Xenopus tropicalis: one gene and its partners. The protein of the gene in region 1 interacts with the protein of each later gene in a biochemical or structural test. Links are inferred from orthologs where the notes say so. Each region holds a gene or a part of one and is shown on either strand. Other genes may lie near its edges.

Region 1 (3,500 bases):
TCTTCTAATTCATCGAGATACAAACGATAACGATGTCCACTCTCATCTTCATACTCTACATTTTCATCATCAGAATCTATTTCAGGGGCAACATACACAACCTCAAACTCAATTTCCCCTCTCTAGAAGGTAAACAACACTGGTTAGAAAAAATGTATGAACACATAATTACAGCAATGTATGTGCATATCAGAATGGCAGTACTAACAAGCATATAAAGAAAGCACTATTTGGTTAATTCCTGTGTAACTATATTATATACACCTACAGGATAGTTAATCCTGTTGTAAACTCTAGTGTCAATATACATCCAAGTGTAATTTAAATGCATGCATATTAGAAATCACCAAGGAGTGATAAAGGATGAATCTAAATTATTACCTGCTGAGAGAGAATTGTAACAGCTTCTTTGTGCTTGGCATCCCTTAAATTAATTCCGTTAACTGCCAAAATTGCATCCCCAACATGCAGTCCACCACAGCGGTCTGCTGGCTGTGCTGGGTGGATTTCGGAGATAAGTATTGGAACACCGTGCTCTTTCCCGCCCTAAAATATAACACAAACATCTTAAATGAAAATGTAAAAATCCCTAATTTCCAGCACTTTTCACAGCACAGAAGAGGTCAAACCTTGTGACACATGCATAATAGACTAAGGGGCACATTTACTAATCCACGAACGTCCGAAAAGCGTCTGAATGCGTTTTTTTCGTAATGATCGGTACTTTGCGACTTTTTCGCAAATTGTCGCGACTTTTTCGAGCTCTCAATACGAAAGTTGCGACAATTCGCGAAAGTCGTAATGGCAATGAAAAAGTCGTGACAATTCTCCAAAGGCATAATGGCAATGAAAAAGTCACGACAATTCTCCAAAGGCATAATGGCAATGAAAAAGTTGCAACATTCCACGAAATTTGTTATGGCTATGAAAAAGTCGCAACAATTCGCACAAGTCGTACCGGTTATGAAAAAGTCGCGACAATTTACGGGAAAGTCGTAACGGCGACGAAAAAATCGCAAAAAATACGAAAAAGTCGCAAAATGTTCGTTTTCCAATCCAAATTTTTCTCATTCGGATTCGGAGATTAGTAAATCAGCCCCTAAGTGTCACCACATCCATGCTCCACACCTACTGTGCACCTGAAGTGACATACATATGAAATACATGTGTATTTACAAAGAACATATAGCAGAAGTTTGCCTATGATATGTAGTCACAACTTCATTACAACCACACTTTATATAGTGGTGAGCACATACTCGCCTTTTGTTACTCAGATATTGTACCCATCACTTGTCAAACACTGTTCTGCTAGTAGGATCATATATGTATAACTCCACACAATAAACAGGCTTTGAATGTACAAAGTACTAATAAACATAAACAAGAGCTGTTAATCACCGTGATTGATATGCCAAGCCCTTCGTGATCTTCTTTAGCCAGAATTACTTTTCTGATAGGGCCAACTCCTTGGCTTTTTTTTAAGCAGTCTGGGTCCTGCTGAGACACAAAGATATAATGATTATCCTAAATGCAGAAAGGAGTTAAATAAAAAAACAGAATTGTAAATCTGTTTGCAACCACATCCTGGAACTTATCCTATATTTGTAACAATTCTAGCAGGAGTCTGTCATGATAACAATAGCACTGGGTCTCACCTGCTGGATGCTATGTTATGTGCAACAGCAGGTGTGCAAACACTGCAATAAGGCAGATTAACTGCTCACACACTGTATCTACTGGAACTTACGTGTCCTGGAGGTACCGGCAATGGACGCTTCAGATCATTTCGCCCCCGACAGGCTCGAATAACAGTCTTGTGCCGATGCAAGTGAATTTCAGCCTCAAGCTGATTCCACAATTTGTCGTGAGCAGGGCCCTTCATGTCTCTACCAAGCAACTGAATCTGCTGGACTCTGGAAACAAAATAAAATACCTTTATCAAACACTCTTTCCACTTTTATGTTCTGACAGTAACATTAAAGCATAGCCTTGTACCTGAAAACAAAGGGAATGTTTAGAAAATAACTGCTGCTCCACCTGTTCCTTTCTAGGGGTTATACTTCACCTTGGCGGACTTGTACTTTTTTTTTACTACTCATGAGGGTCAGTGTTTACGTTTTTAAGTGAATATAAAAAGTTAATACACAAATCCATTTTAGAATTAGAATGCAAAAAATAAAATGTCATGTCCCTGGTGTGTTTTTAAGCCACTGGTGTATTATAACAATACTGTAATAATACTGTAGACAGATATTATTGTGCTCAAATGATATTAGTTTTGTAAAATGTATTTAATGGGATTCACACAGGCTGAATTTGGGCACTGATGTTTTTCTCTTTTGTCTGTGCAAATAATGGCTGTATTTCATTTGTTGCGGTTGGTCCACTACAGAGTGTAGGCTGGCTCAACCGCTGTAAACATAGCAACTGGTTAACGCTACAGTGATGGTTCGCCCAAGAATTCATGATTTCTCTCTTTGTTTCATGTGAGTGTAAAAGGCCGACTGGTGAAATCCACTATGTTTAGGCAAGAATAGCTGTATGCAAGTACTGCCCAGAAACCAGTTTATCATTGTTTAGGATATCAGTTTTCCAATATAACTGTCTTTTCTTACTAATAGAGTTTTTGGGATGCAGATATCAAAGCACAGTATGTTTTTTTTTTTTTTTTTCTCCAAGGACAAAAGTTAGTTAAAAAAATTTGTATATATAATTTTAGATTTCTCTATATATATGCATAGTTGGGTAAGCCTGTGCATACAGAGTATAAAATTGACCTCACATGCATATTTAACATTCATTTTGGGAGATACTATAAAATACAAGGTACTCTGAAATAAAAAAAGACTCATTTACCTTATCAGAATGTGTAACTGACACAAGAAAGGTTTTTATGGTTTATGGGGGTTATACATACTGTTTAGTGTCTTGTACTGCTAACCACTTAAAAATAAAAAAGCTATATTTGTAGGTGCCAAAGCGTCCACCTTGAAAGTTTGTATGGACTATTTATATTTTGGGGCTCTGCATGCTAAACAGTTGTGAAATACTATTTATATTTTTGGAAGTTTTGTAGTCTGTAGTAGTTAAGTAGTAATAAAAAACATTTTCAATTCATCAGGATGTGTAGTTTACTGGAGTCTCCTTACCGTTAGGGGGTCTCTTTTAGCCTAAAATTTAAATTATACTAGTATGATACTGTGTCTTAAAAACATAGAGAACTCATCAGCTAAAATGTCTTGACAACATATCCCTGATGAAAAATGAAATCCTTGACATGACTACACACTAATTTATGTTAGGTTATATTATTTTTCCAGGTAAAATAATCATTACAGTAAAGCAGACACTCACCTTCCAGCCAGCTCCTTATCTAGGTACTTGGCTGCCAGTCGCGCCCCATACACTTCTGCCTGCAGAACTGCAATGTGCCTACGAAGGGCTTCATTTTCCTTACGAAGTAATTTCACTTCTGCTTCCAACTGAGCTTCCTTCAC
Region 2 (4,003 bases), on another chromosome or scaffold:
GCGGATCTTACGATGTTTCGTGCGACCGATGGTCGTACGAAACATCGTCAGATCGCCACGTGTATGGCCACCTTAAATCATGGAACAACAAAGTTGGTGAACAGGGTGCTATGCTACGTATATACATCCATAATGAAGTAAACCTGGTTTTTAGTATTGCTCTTAATTTTGACACCCTTAGAAATTATGCAGAAGTATAATATGAGGTAAACCTTTTTCCCCTTCAGGTGACCTAACTGAAGGAAGAAGTGTTTTAATTTTGACTGTCAGTAATCAGGAAATGTTTATACACGCAGTGCCTCAAACATAAGAACTAAAGTGCAGTTGCCAACTGCAACCAATCATGTCTCTTTCTAACAGTAGTGGACTGTTGAAATCTAATTGCTGATTGCACACAAAACACCACAAACACAAACAGTATTTGAGATGCATTAATTTTCTCTGACAGTCAAAGCTATTAAAGCAGATAGGTATTAATGGCAATTTGCTTTTTTGTAATGTGTGCGTGGTTCATAGTTTGTTCTTTTTATAGCTAGGAGACATACTTTCTTTATCATGCTGAACTGGGTGCGCCTGCGGAGCGATATCTTTTTTTCCATGTTTAGCTAATCCTCCCCCTTGATTTCATTTAACCAGTGTATAGTGTAAACCTTTGTGCACCACTGCCGTTAGCAATGCAATACCTTCTAGTTCTGCACCAGCAAAATCAACACACAGCACCCTGAAATGTTAAAATTTACTCTCTGCCCTTTGCTTTAATAAAGAAAGTGTAATATAATGTGGGGTGTTTTAATTATTGTGGTCTAGTGGAAAGAATCCACTTCAGCATATACACCAAATATATATTTATAAAAGGGAATGGCTAGCGAGTTGCCTAGATAGTGCTTCTACATTTAAGTACTTTCTTAACTGAACAAGCTCAACTATTGAAATAGTATATAAAGGTGTAGGATCCCTTTTCCGGAAACCCGTTATCCAGAAAGTTCCAAATTACGGAAAGGACATCTCCCATAGACTCCATTATAAGCAAATAATTCTAATTTTTAAAAACAATTTCCTTTTTCTCTGTAATTATAAAACAGTACCTTGTACTTGATCTCAACTAAGATATAATTACGGTAATACTTACTGGAGGCAAAACAATCCTATTGGGTTTTAATGACGTTTAAATTATTTCTTAAGGTCCCCATACACGGGCCAACTATAGCTGCCGATATCGGTCCCTTGGACCGATTCGGCAGCTAATCGGCCCGTGTATGGGGAGAGCCGAGCAGCCTGGCCGACCGATATCTGGCCTGAAATTGGCCAGATCTCGATCGGGCAGGTTAGAAAATCCGGTCGGATCGGGGACCACATCGGCTCGTTGATGCGGTCCCCGATCCGACTGCCCCATTGCCGCCCACATAATCCGATCGTTTGGCCCCAGGGCCAAACGATCGGATTATTTTTTTTTTTACCTAAAGGCTCCCCGATATCGCCCACCCGTAGGTGGGGATATTGGGGGAAGATCCGCTCGCTTGGCGACATCGCCAAGCGAGCGGATCTGCTCGTGTATGGCCACCTTTAGTAGACTTAAGGTATGGAGATCCAAATTACAGAAAGATCCCTTATCCGGAATGCCCCAGGTCCCCAGCATTCTTGATAACAGGTTCAATACCCGAACCTGCATTCCAAATATTTTAGATGTGCTAATCTTTAATTCAGTTGGGATCTTTTTTTTTTTTTTTTTTTTTTTTTTGAAGCATTAAGGAAATTTAGTTCATGTTCAAGTCACACTGTGTTCTAAGGCACACAAGATCTTACAAAATGAATATTGTATTAAAAAGGGATTTATTGCAATATAGTTATTGAAATAAAAGCTCTCAATCTCTCAAAACATAATTAATGAACACAAATGTCAATGTATAGGAGGACATCAACCTGCGTTCTACAGCTGCTTGCTAACTACAGTCGAACTGTGGGGGACGGCTGGAACTGCAGATTCAGCAACAGGTGGATTGCTACAGAATACAGTTCCACATTAAATATATACCAAGATCAGTCAATGGCTGTTGATCAGCGGCTTCAACAGCAGGAGGGATGTGCGACCTGTGACCACAAGTTCTGCAGTAGGGAAACATAAGATGTGCAGCCTCTAATTGAATTCCGCGGTGGGGGGCTCAGAAATAGTAAATATACACCACCTCTGAAAGAAGTGCATGACTGAAATTGTGACGAATATCGGCAGCCCATAAAGAGCTGAAGGCCATCAGGTAACACGCACAGTCTTTCTCTTATGAAGAGACGCAAGAGAATGCGGCAGCAACACATACACACGAACCCATGCTATTCTAAAAGACCTATTCTAACCGTAAGTAGCTTTGATTGGTTGTAATCAGAAAACACTGCTACCTCCCCCCCTCCAACATTTTCTGACTGCTTCAGCTTCGAAACCTCGTCCGCAACTGACAGTTCTCACCTCCGTCTCCTCATGAACCACCTCCACCTCGGGCCAAAGATCCACTAGTTGTGCCAGCGGCATCTTCAACGCGTTCTCTCAGGTGCTACACAACGTAAAGCAGGGACACCGCTGCGCACCCTGCACGGCTTGAAACGCAAAATAATTAAATACGAAGATTCCAGCTTTCAGTCACTGTTTAAGTTACTATCGACAATTATTTATGATACGTAGGGTCTGCGTAGTCCAGGTCCTTTTTTTCCGCTATAACGCCTGCACCTCTCGCACTTAGTCTACACTACTCGGTGTCCGGCGACAGACTGACCGCTTGACTCCTCCTAACTCACTGACAGAAGGGCACGTGCCGCCCTGCCCGCCTACTATTGGCTCCTCCCGGTTTCTAAGCTGTCAATTGGCCCCTTGTTCAGAAAAGGCGGTGTTTCTGGTACTAACCCATTCCGCATTCCCTCAGGTGAATCTTTGCTTTTACTACTCCGAAGATTTAAGCGGGAAAGAATGGGCAACGTTTCGCTAAGTGCGCCATCTTGTGGCATGAGGCGTAAGAATAGTACGGTTCTGAGTGAGACAATCGCTTTTATATCTTGTACAACACTTAGGGGTACATTTACTAAGACACGAATCTGAACCGAATTGGAAAAATTCCGACTTGAAAACGAACATTTTGCGACTTTTTCGTATTTTTTGCGATTTTTTCAGCGTCTTCACGACTTTTCGGAAATTGTCGCGACTTTTTCGTTACCAATACGATTTGCGCGAAAAAACGCGAGTTTTTCGTAGCCATTCCGAAAGTTGCGCAAAATCGCCCGATTTTTTCGTAGCGTTAAAGCTTGCGCGAAAAGTTGCGCAACTTTTAACGCTACGAAAAATGGCCAGATTTTGCGCAACTTTCGGAATGGCTACGAAAAACTTGCGTTTTTTTCGCACAAATCGTATTAGTAACGAAAAAGTCGCGACATTTTTCCGAAAAAATCGCAAAATACCGATCATTACGAAAAAAATGCAATTGGACGCATTCGGCCCGTTCGTGGCTTAGTAAATGTGCCCCTTAGGGGCCGTTCATTAAACCACGCTTTTTTTTTTTTTTTTTGAGAAAAAAAAAAATCAAAATTTTTGTAATGCCCACGATAATTTCGTTAAAATTCCACAACTTTTTCGTGGGTTTAGTTAACTTCCACAAAAAGTCATATTTTTCACAAAGACTACAACCATTTCGGAATTCATTCAAGCTTTGGTATCGTGACTTTCTTTTGGCCAGGTTGGATCTGTAGAGTGCCGTTGAGTCCTAAGGAAGACTTCCAAAATCATATGTAGCCCACTTTAGCTGGCAGTGCTGCTACTGGTGCCCTCTTGGCTTACTTCTGGCGCAGAAGTCGTGAGCCCCCACTTACTATGGGGGTAACAGGGAGTCTTCACTGTTAATGGCATGCCTCCACCCAGGGGTGATGTGGGACTATAACTCCCACCCTGGGACTTGATATTACACTGTAACCTTTGTCAGGGACTCCACACAACTCCTGGCTCCTTGCCCCTCCCATGGGGTAGTAG
Region 3 (4,043 bases), on another chromosome or scaffold:
TGTATGGTGCAATGAGTGAGTGCTGGTGTGAGTGTATGTATGGTGCAATGAGTGAGTGCTGGTGTAAGTGTATGTATGGTGCAATGAGTGAGTGCTGGTGTAAGTGTATGTATGCTGCAATGAGTGAGTGCTGGTGTGAGTGTATGTATGGTGCAATGAGTGTGTGCTGGTGTGAGTGTATGTGAGGTGCAATGAGTGTGTGCTGGTGTAAGTGTATGTATGGTGCAATGAGTGAGTGCTGGTGTGAGTGTATGTGAGGTGCAATGAGTGAGTGCTGGTGTAAGTGTATGTATGGTGCAATGAGTGAGTGCTGGTGTGAGTGTATGTATGGTGCAATGAGTGAGTGCTGGTGTGAGTGTATGTGAGGTGCAATGAGTGAGTGCTGGTGTGAGTGTATGTATGGTGCAATGAGTGTGTGCTAGTGTGAGTGTATGTATGGTGCAATGAGTGTGTGCTGGTGTGAGTGTATGTATGGTGCAATGAGTGAGTGCTGGTGTGAGTGTATGTATGGTGCAATGAGTGAGTGCTGGTGTGAGTGTATGTATGGTGCAATGAGTGAGTGCTGGTGTGAGTGTATGTATGGTGCAATGAGTGAATGCTGGTGTGAGTGTATGTATGGTGCAATGAGTGAGTGCTGGTTTGAGGGTATGTATGGTGCAATGAGTGAGTGCTGGTGTAAGTGTATGTATGGTGCAATGAGTGAGTGCTGGTGTGAGTGTATGTATGGTGCAATGAGTGAGTGCTGGTGTGAGTATATGTTTGGTGCAATGTGTGTGTGCTGGTGTAAGTGTATGTATGGTGCAATGAGTGAGTGCTGGTGTGATTGTATGTATGGTGCAATGAGTGAGTGCTGGTGTGAGTGTATGTATGGTGCAATGAGTGAGTGCTGGTGTGAGTGTATGTATGGTGCAATTAGTGAGTGCTGGTGTGAGTGTATGTATGGTGCAATGAGTGAATGCTGGTGTGAGTGTATGTATGGTGCAATGAGTGAGTGCTGGTGTGAGGGTATGTATGGTGCAATGAGTGAGTGCTGGTGTAAGTGTATGTATGGTGCAATGAGTGAGTGCTGGTGTGAGTGTATGTATGGTGCAATGAGTGAGTGCTGGTGTGAGTATATGTTTGGTGCAATGTGTGTGTGCTGGTGTAAGTGTATGTATGGTGCAACGAGTGAGTGCTGGTGTGAGTGTATGTATGGTGCAATGAGTGAGTGCTGGTGTGAGTGTATGTATGGTGCAATGAGTGAGTGCTGGTGTGAGTGTATGTATGGTGCAATGAGTGAGTGCTTGTGTGAGGGTATGTATGGTGCAATGAGTGAGTGCAGGTGTGAGTATGTATGGTGCAATGAGTGAGTGCTTGTGTGAGTGTATGTATGGTGCAATGAGTGAGTGCAGGTGTGAGTGTATGTATGGTGCAATGAGTGAGTGCAGGTGTGAGTATGTATGGTGCAATGAGTGAGTGCTGGTGTGAGTGTATGTATGGTGCAATGAGTGAGTGCTTGTGTGAGGGTATGTATGGTGCAATGAGTGAGTGCTGGTGCGATTGTATGTATGGTGCAATGAGTGAGTGCTGGTGTGAGTGTATGTATGGTGCAATGAGTGAGTGCTGGTGTGAGTGTATGTATGGTGCAATTAGTGAGTGCTGGTGTGAGTGTATGTATGGTGCAATGAGTGAATGCTGGTGTGAGTGTATGTATGGTGCAATTAGTGAGTGCTGGTGTGAGTGTATGTATGGTGCAATGAGTGAATGCTGGTGTGAGTGTATGTATGGTGCAATGAGTGAGTGCTGGTGTGAGTGTATGTATGGTGCAATGAGTGAGTGCTGGTGTGAGTGTATGTATGGTGCAATTAGTGAGTGCTGGTGTGAGTATATGTTTGGTGCAATGTGTGTGTGCTGGTGTAAGTGTATGTATGGTGCAATGAGTGAATGCTGGTGTGAGTGTATGTATGGTGCAATGAGTGAGTGCTGGTGTGAGTGTATGTATGGTGCAATGAGTGAATGCTGGTGTGAGTGTATGTATGGTGCAATGAGTGAGTGCTGGTGTGAGTGTATGTATGGTGCAATTAGTGAGTGCTGGTGTAAGTGTATGTATGGTGCAATGAGTGAGTGCTTGTGTGAGTGTATGTATGGTGCAATTAGTGAGTGCTGGTGTGAGTATATGTTTGGTGCAATGTGTGTGTGCTGGTGTAAGTGTATGTATGGTGCAATGAGTGAGTGCTGGTGTGAGTGTATGTATGGTGCAATGAGTGAGTGCAGGTGTGAGTGTATGTATGGTGCAATGAGTGAGTGCTTGTGTGAGTGTATGTATGGTGCAATGAGTGAGTGCAGGTGTGAGTGTATGTATGGTGCAATGAGTGAGTGCTTGTGTGAGGGTATGTATGGTGCAATGAGTGAGTGCTGGTGTAAGTGTATGTATGGTGCAATGAGTGAGTGCTTGTGTGAGTGTATGTATGGTGCAATGAGTGAGTGCTGGTGTGAGTGTATGTATGGTGCAATGAGTGAGTGCTTGTGTGAGTGTATGTATGGTGCAATGAGTGAGTGCTTGTGTGAGTGTATGTATGGTGCAATAAGTGAGTGCTGGTGTGAGTGTATGTATGGTGCAATAAGTGAGTGCTGGTGTGAGTGTATGTATGGTGCAATGAGTGAGTGCTGGTGTGAGGGTATGTTCATATTTACATTACCTGTGGGTGTCAGAGGCGGGGAGACCATGGGTGCCATCTTGGATATCAGTGCCAGGTTGTGCAGCTGGACCAGTGTGGTGCCTGGGTATGATGGAACGCAAGCCCTGAAACGCTGGAAGGGAATGAAATGATGGGGGGAAGTAAAGATGAAAAAAGAGCAAGGGAGGGGTCTGTTACAGAAAAGAATTGCTGGGACAGCTGCTGTTTCTATTTTGTGACTACTGTTTCAGTGCTCCCTTCCTGGTAATAGCGCCAGGGTCAGAAGGGCAGGGAGTCAGGGGAGAGGTATGGGCTGGATTTGGGCTCTACGGGATCAGGATTAGCTGCGCAGCACAAGGAAAGGGCCAAATACACAGAGATATCGGGGGAGAGGAGGAACAGACACAGGTGAGAGAAGTTACTTTTTAGTCACCACTAGCCCTGTCACAGTGAGTAGAGTGTCACAGGGGGTTACAGTGAGTAGTGTGTCACAGGGAGTTACAGTGAGTAGTGTGTCACAGGGAGTTACAGTGAGTAGTGTGTCACAGGGAGTTACAGTGAGTAGTGTGTCACAGGGGGTTACAGTGAGTAGTGTGTCACAGGGGGTTACAGTGAGTAGTGTGTCACAGGGGGTTACAGTGAGTAGTGTGTCACAGGGGGTTACAGTGAGTAGTGTGTCACAGGGAGTTACAGTGAGTAGTGTGTCACAGGGGGTTACAGTGAGTAGTGTGTCACAGGGAGTTACAGTGAGTAGTGTGTCACAGGGGGTTACAGTGAGTAGTGTGTCACAGGGAGTTACAGTGAGTAGTGTGTCACAGGGGGTTACAGTGAGTAGTGTGTCACAGGGGGTTACAGTGAGTAGTGTGTCACAGGGAGTTACAGTGAGTAGTGTGTCACAGGGAGTTACAGTGAGTAGTGTGTCACAGGGAGTTACAGTGAGTAGTGTGTCACAGGGAGTTACAGTGAGTAGTGTGTCACGGGGAGTTACAGTGAGTAGCGTGTCACAGGGAGTTACAGTGAGTAGCGTGTCACGGGGAGTTACAGTGAGTAGCGTGTCACAGGGAGTTACAGTGAGTAGCGCGTCACGGGGAGTTACAGTGAGTAGCGTGTCATAGGGAGTTACAGTGAGTAGTGTGTCACAGGGAGTTACAGTGAGTAGCGTGTCACAGGGAGTTACAGTGAGTAGCGTGTCACGGGGAGTTACAGTGAGTAGCGTGCCACGGGGAGTTACAGTGAGTAGCGTGTCACGGGGAGTTACAGTGAGTAGCGTGTCACGGGGAGTTACAGTGAGTAGCGTGTCATAGGGAGTTACAGTGAGTAGAGTGTCACAGGGAGTTACAGTGAGTAGAGTGTCACAGGGGGTTACAGTGAGTAGAGTGTCACAGG
Region 4 (3,975 bases), on another chromosome or scaffold:
CCTTGGTGCCCCTGCTGTGCTGGGTACCCCCAATAACATCTTCCACAGTGCTGTGCTAGGGGCAAAGTGCAAAAATAGTGCACAATTTTTAAAATTTTTACCTTGCTCCATTATTGTTCTAATGCTGCGCCCGTACATGCCCCTCTCTGAATTCAGAGTGTTGGGGGCTTTTCTATAATTATCTGAGTAACTGAAAGACTGAATATAAGGGTAAATGTATCTATTGCCCTTTGTATAGGTTTATCCTGCCTTCCTATGCTCATCCTCCACTCTGGCATTCATACCACTAACTGGTTGCTATGGTCACTAATAGAGAAGCAGTCAGAGAACAGCTGCAATGCCATACTGGATAGCTGAAGAACATAGTTAAAAAATACAAAACAGATTAAATAAGGACCAACTGCAAATGAAATTAAATATCAAATTGAAAGTTCTCAGTAAAGAAATTATTGATAATTGGTCTATGTGTTCTGGGTGCTATAAACATTGGAACTATATAAACAGGAGCTTTCTATTATGGAAAGAAGTTGGCCGGGCTGCTTAGAAATCAGTGCAGGCTGCACCATTAATATCTATATGCACTGATTGTGGAATACAGATGATCAGAGTATAATCTCTATCCAGCTGGCAGCACATAAGGGAAGGGAAACACAATGCAAAGAGGCTGAGATGTTGCCATTTGCAGACTAAAGAGCCCAAGAGCAAACAGTATGTGCGGGGTATGATAAGGAAGGAATATAGAACATTTAGCTCTGGTTCCCTTGGGTGACAGGCATGGGGGGGGGGCCTTATCTTGACAAGACATATATGCACTGTGCTACTGCTCCTCACAAGTCATATATCATGTTCTTTCATGACTTAACCCCCTGCCTGCCAGCAGGAAGATAAAGACTGACGCACTGTTATTTATGCCTATAGGAAGGGGTTAATTAAAATCAGATCTAGTGGTGGCTGCTTGGTATTTTCTATAATAATCAGTGTCTGGAAGGAACAGTGGGAACTGCCTGGCCAGCAGGGCCCTGAGGCACAGACTTCCATAGGGAGAGCCATGCCTGGATACCTAGGGCATTAACTGGGCAATAACAGAACCCCCTAATGGTACCATTAGAACAGATTATGGGGCGACATAATAAGCTTGGCAAGTGTCTGGGCTAATGAGTTGTAGTAGGTCAGGGAGAGCGTTATAATGAACAGAGTGTGAGTGTGTGGCATGGCAGGCAGGGGAGTGTGTGTTCATTCTACAGAGATTTGTATGTGTGTGTAGGAATATGTCTGTGTGTGTGTATGAATATGTCTGTGTGTGTGGCATGGCAGGCAGGGGAGTGTGTGTTCATTCTACAGAGATTTGTATGTGTGTGTATGAATATGTCTGTGTGTGTGTGTGTGTATGAATATGTCTGTGTGTGTGAGTGTATGAATATGTCTGTGTGTGTGAGTGTGTGGCATGGCAGGCAGGGGAGTGTGTGTTCATTCTACAGAGATTTGTATGTGTGTGTATGAATATGTCTGTGTGTGTGTGTGTGTGTATGAATATGTCTGTGTGTGTGTGTGTATGAATATGTCTGTGTGTGTGAGTGTGTGGCATGGCAGGCAGGGGAGTGTGTGTTCATACTACAGAGATTTGTATGTGTGTGTATGAATATGTCTGTGTGTGTGTGTGTGTGTGTGTGAATATGTCTGTGTGTGCATATGTGGGTGTGTAGACGTGTGTGGGTATCAGTGTGTTTGAATGAAAGTGTTAATTCCAGCAACAAGCGTCTGATGCAGGAATGCTACTGGGGAAAGTGCGACAATATAACAGGGGAAGTATATTACAAACGGTTGTGAAGGTGACAAAAAAAACCGTAATTGCAAACAAAACACAAACAAAATTCCAATGCAGAAAGGCAATCGCTGCGACAGCTACAGGTGTCTGATTAGCTGGACTGTGTGTGCGACTTGTCCCTCTCATAGCAACTTAGTCTCCCAACTTAGTATACCAATTTTTATAGCAGCCAGCGGCAATGACCATGTTCAGGGGATACACAAGTCCCCGCAGGGTGTCGGGCAGTCGGCGACTCCAGCTCCCTTACAGCTCTAGCGGTCGCAGGCGACACTTGGCGTTCTCAGCCTTAGGGAATTTTAAGAGAAAATAAAGCACTTATTCCTATTATTGGTGCAATTAGAACTTCAGATCGGGCTACTGATGCCAACTCGGTGCCGAAATGCAAAACCAACGCCAATTCGCCAAACTTACCTTCCTCTGGCTGCGTCTGTCTATCTGCGACTCCCCATCTGTGGCGAGACCTGGCCACTTCTCAGGCTGATATGGGCACTCCCAGCCTTGCCTCCCAGCCCGGTGTCTCCGATGCGCCCAGTCACCAATTCTCCTGCGCCAAGACGCAGCGCAACGCTCCTTGCGTATCTGTGGTTGCCGAACAGACAAATCCCATGGCGGTAGGTGAGCGCATCGCTTATAATGGGAGGGCAAGCGAGTGAGGATCACTGTCACAGGGCATGTGGGCAGCGCAATGGAAAGGTGCTATTAGCGCCTCTGTGACGGACATGCAGGTACAGTTCTACAGGCAGCTCATAGCTCTCTGCAGTACAAAGTGCTGCTTATATTCCTCCTTTCTGCCCTTCTTTTCCTCCTGTCTGTCCTTTTATTTCTAATGTCTGTGCTTCTGTTCCTCCTGTCTGTCCTTTTATTTCTAATGTCTGTGCTTCTGTTCCTCCTGTCTGTGCATCTGCTGCGACTCCTGTCTGTGCTTCTGCAGCCTGAGGTGTGGAGATTAGATGCCGTTGCTAATGTATATATTAGCTTGCTGCTCAGGGTGTCCTTCCCTCCTGAACCAGGAGAAATACACACACACCCTGCTCTCTATGAACATCCCCCTCTCCACCTCCCTGCTGATCAGCCAGGCACAGGTTAATCCAGTCTGGCTCTGTGAATCCAATGGGGTTTGATTGATCCAGTTCTTGAGAGGGTTAATGTTATAGAGAGGGTTCATGTTATACAGAGGGTTAGGTTATAGAGAGGGTTAATGTTATAGAGAGGGTTCATGTTATACAGAGGGTTCATGTTATAGAGAGGGTTAATGTTATACAGAGGGTTAATGTTATAGAGAGGGTTCAGGTTATAGAGAGGGTTCAGGTTATAGAGAGGGTTGATGTTATAGAGAGAGTTAATGTTATACAGAGGGTTCATGTTATACAGAGGGTTCATGTTATAGAGAGGGTTGATGTTATACAGAGGGTTCATGTTATACAGAGGGTTCATGTTATAGAGAGGGTTGATGTTATAGAGAGGGTTAATGTTATAGAGAGGGTTAATGTTATACAGAGGGTTCATTTTATAGAGAGGGTTAATGTTATACAGAGGGTTCATGTTATAGAGAGGGTTAATGTTATAGAGAGGGTTAATGTTATAGAGAGGGTTAATGTTATAGAGAGGGTTAATGTTATACAGAGGGTTCATGTTATAGAGAGGGTTCATGTTATAGAGAGGGTTAATGTTATACAGAGGGTTAATGTTATAGAGAGGGTTCAGGTTATAGAGAGGGTTAATGTTATAGAGAGGGTTCATGTTATAGAGAGGGTTCATGTTATAGAGAGGGTTCATGTTATAGAGAGGGTTAATGTTATACAGAGGGTTCATGTTATAGAGAGGGTTAATGTTATACAGAGTGTTCATGTTATACAGAGGAAGGTGTCATATGGGATACATTGGATATATATTGGATATATTGGTGTCATATTGGAGTGGGGGTTCTGAAAAGGCTTTAGTTACCCTGGGAGGGGGGCTCAAATGCTCAGCATAGAACCAAAAAGTAGTTATTAGTTAGTTTTGTTCTAACCTCCCAAATAATGCACCTGTCAAGTTACATAGTTACATATGAACCTGTAGTCCTACTGGTGTTGCTGAACTACAACCCCCCCCCCCCCCCCCCCCTCACCGCACCATGGATGACTGTGCTCTCAGGGCTGCTGGGAATG

The links.
Region 2: the proteins of gopc (region 1) and rps6ka1 interact in a test that uses a peptide from one of them, tested with the Homo sapiens proteins (2 studies listed by BioGRID and IntAct, with this or other methods). The link is inferred for Xenopus tropicalis from reciprocal best matches to the Homo sapiens genes GOPC and RPS6KA1.
Region 3: the proteins of gopc (region 1) and crhr1.2 form a complex in vitro, tested with the Homo sapiens proteins (2 studies listed by BioGRID and IntAct, with this or other methods). The link is inferred for Xenopus tropicalis from reciprocal best matches to the Homo sapiens genes GOPC and CRHR1.
Region 4: the proteins of gopc (region 1) and sstr5 form a complex in vitro, tested with the Homo sapiens proteins (2 studies listed by BioGRID and IntAct, with this or other methods). The link is inferred for Xenopus tropicalis from reciprocal best matches to the Homo sapiens genes GOPC and SSTR5.

Annotation. Positions count from the first base shown.
Region 1 is NC_030681.2:74,174,893-74,178,392, reverse strand, and holds part of gopc (Golgi-associated PDZ and coiled-coil motif-containing protein), read right to left. Parts: coding exon 3,358-3,500; intron 1,917-3,357; coding exon 1,751-1,916; intron 1,501-1,750; coding exon 1,402-1,500; intron 547-1,401; coding exon 382-546; intron 123-381; coding exon 1-122.
Region 2 is NC_030678.2:77,585,384-77,589,386, reverse strand, and holds the start of rps6ka1 (ribosomal protein S6 kinase alpha-1), read right to left. Parts: upstream 2,801-4,003; 5' UTR 2,522-2,800; coding exon of another isoform or gene 2,473-2,521; coding exon 2,459-2,472; intron 1-2,458. UniProt on the Homo sapiens protein: Serine/threonine-protein kinase that acts downstream of ERK (MAPK1/ERK2 and MAPK3/ERK1) signaling and mediates mitogenic and stress-induced activation of the transcription factors CREB1, ETV1/ER81 and NR4A1/NUR77, regulates translation through RPS6 and EIF4B phosphorylation, and mediates cellular proliferation, survival, and differentiation by modulating mTOR signaling and repressing pro-apoptotic function of BAD and DAPK1.
Region 3 is NC_030686.2:16,307,654-16,311,696, reverse strand, and holds the start of crhr1.2 (corticotropin-releasing factor receptor 1), read right to left. Parts: upstream 2,801-4,043; 5' UTR 2,679-2,800; intron 1-2,678.
Region 4 is NC_030685.2:17,505,564-17,509,538, reverse strand, and holds the start of sstr5 (somatostatin receptor type 5), read right to left. Parts: upstream 2,801-3,975; 5' UTR 2,237-2,800; intron 1-2,236.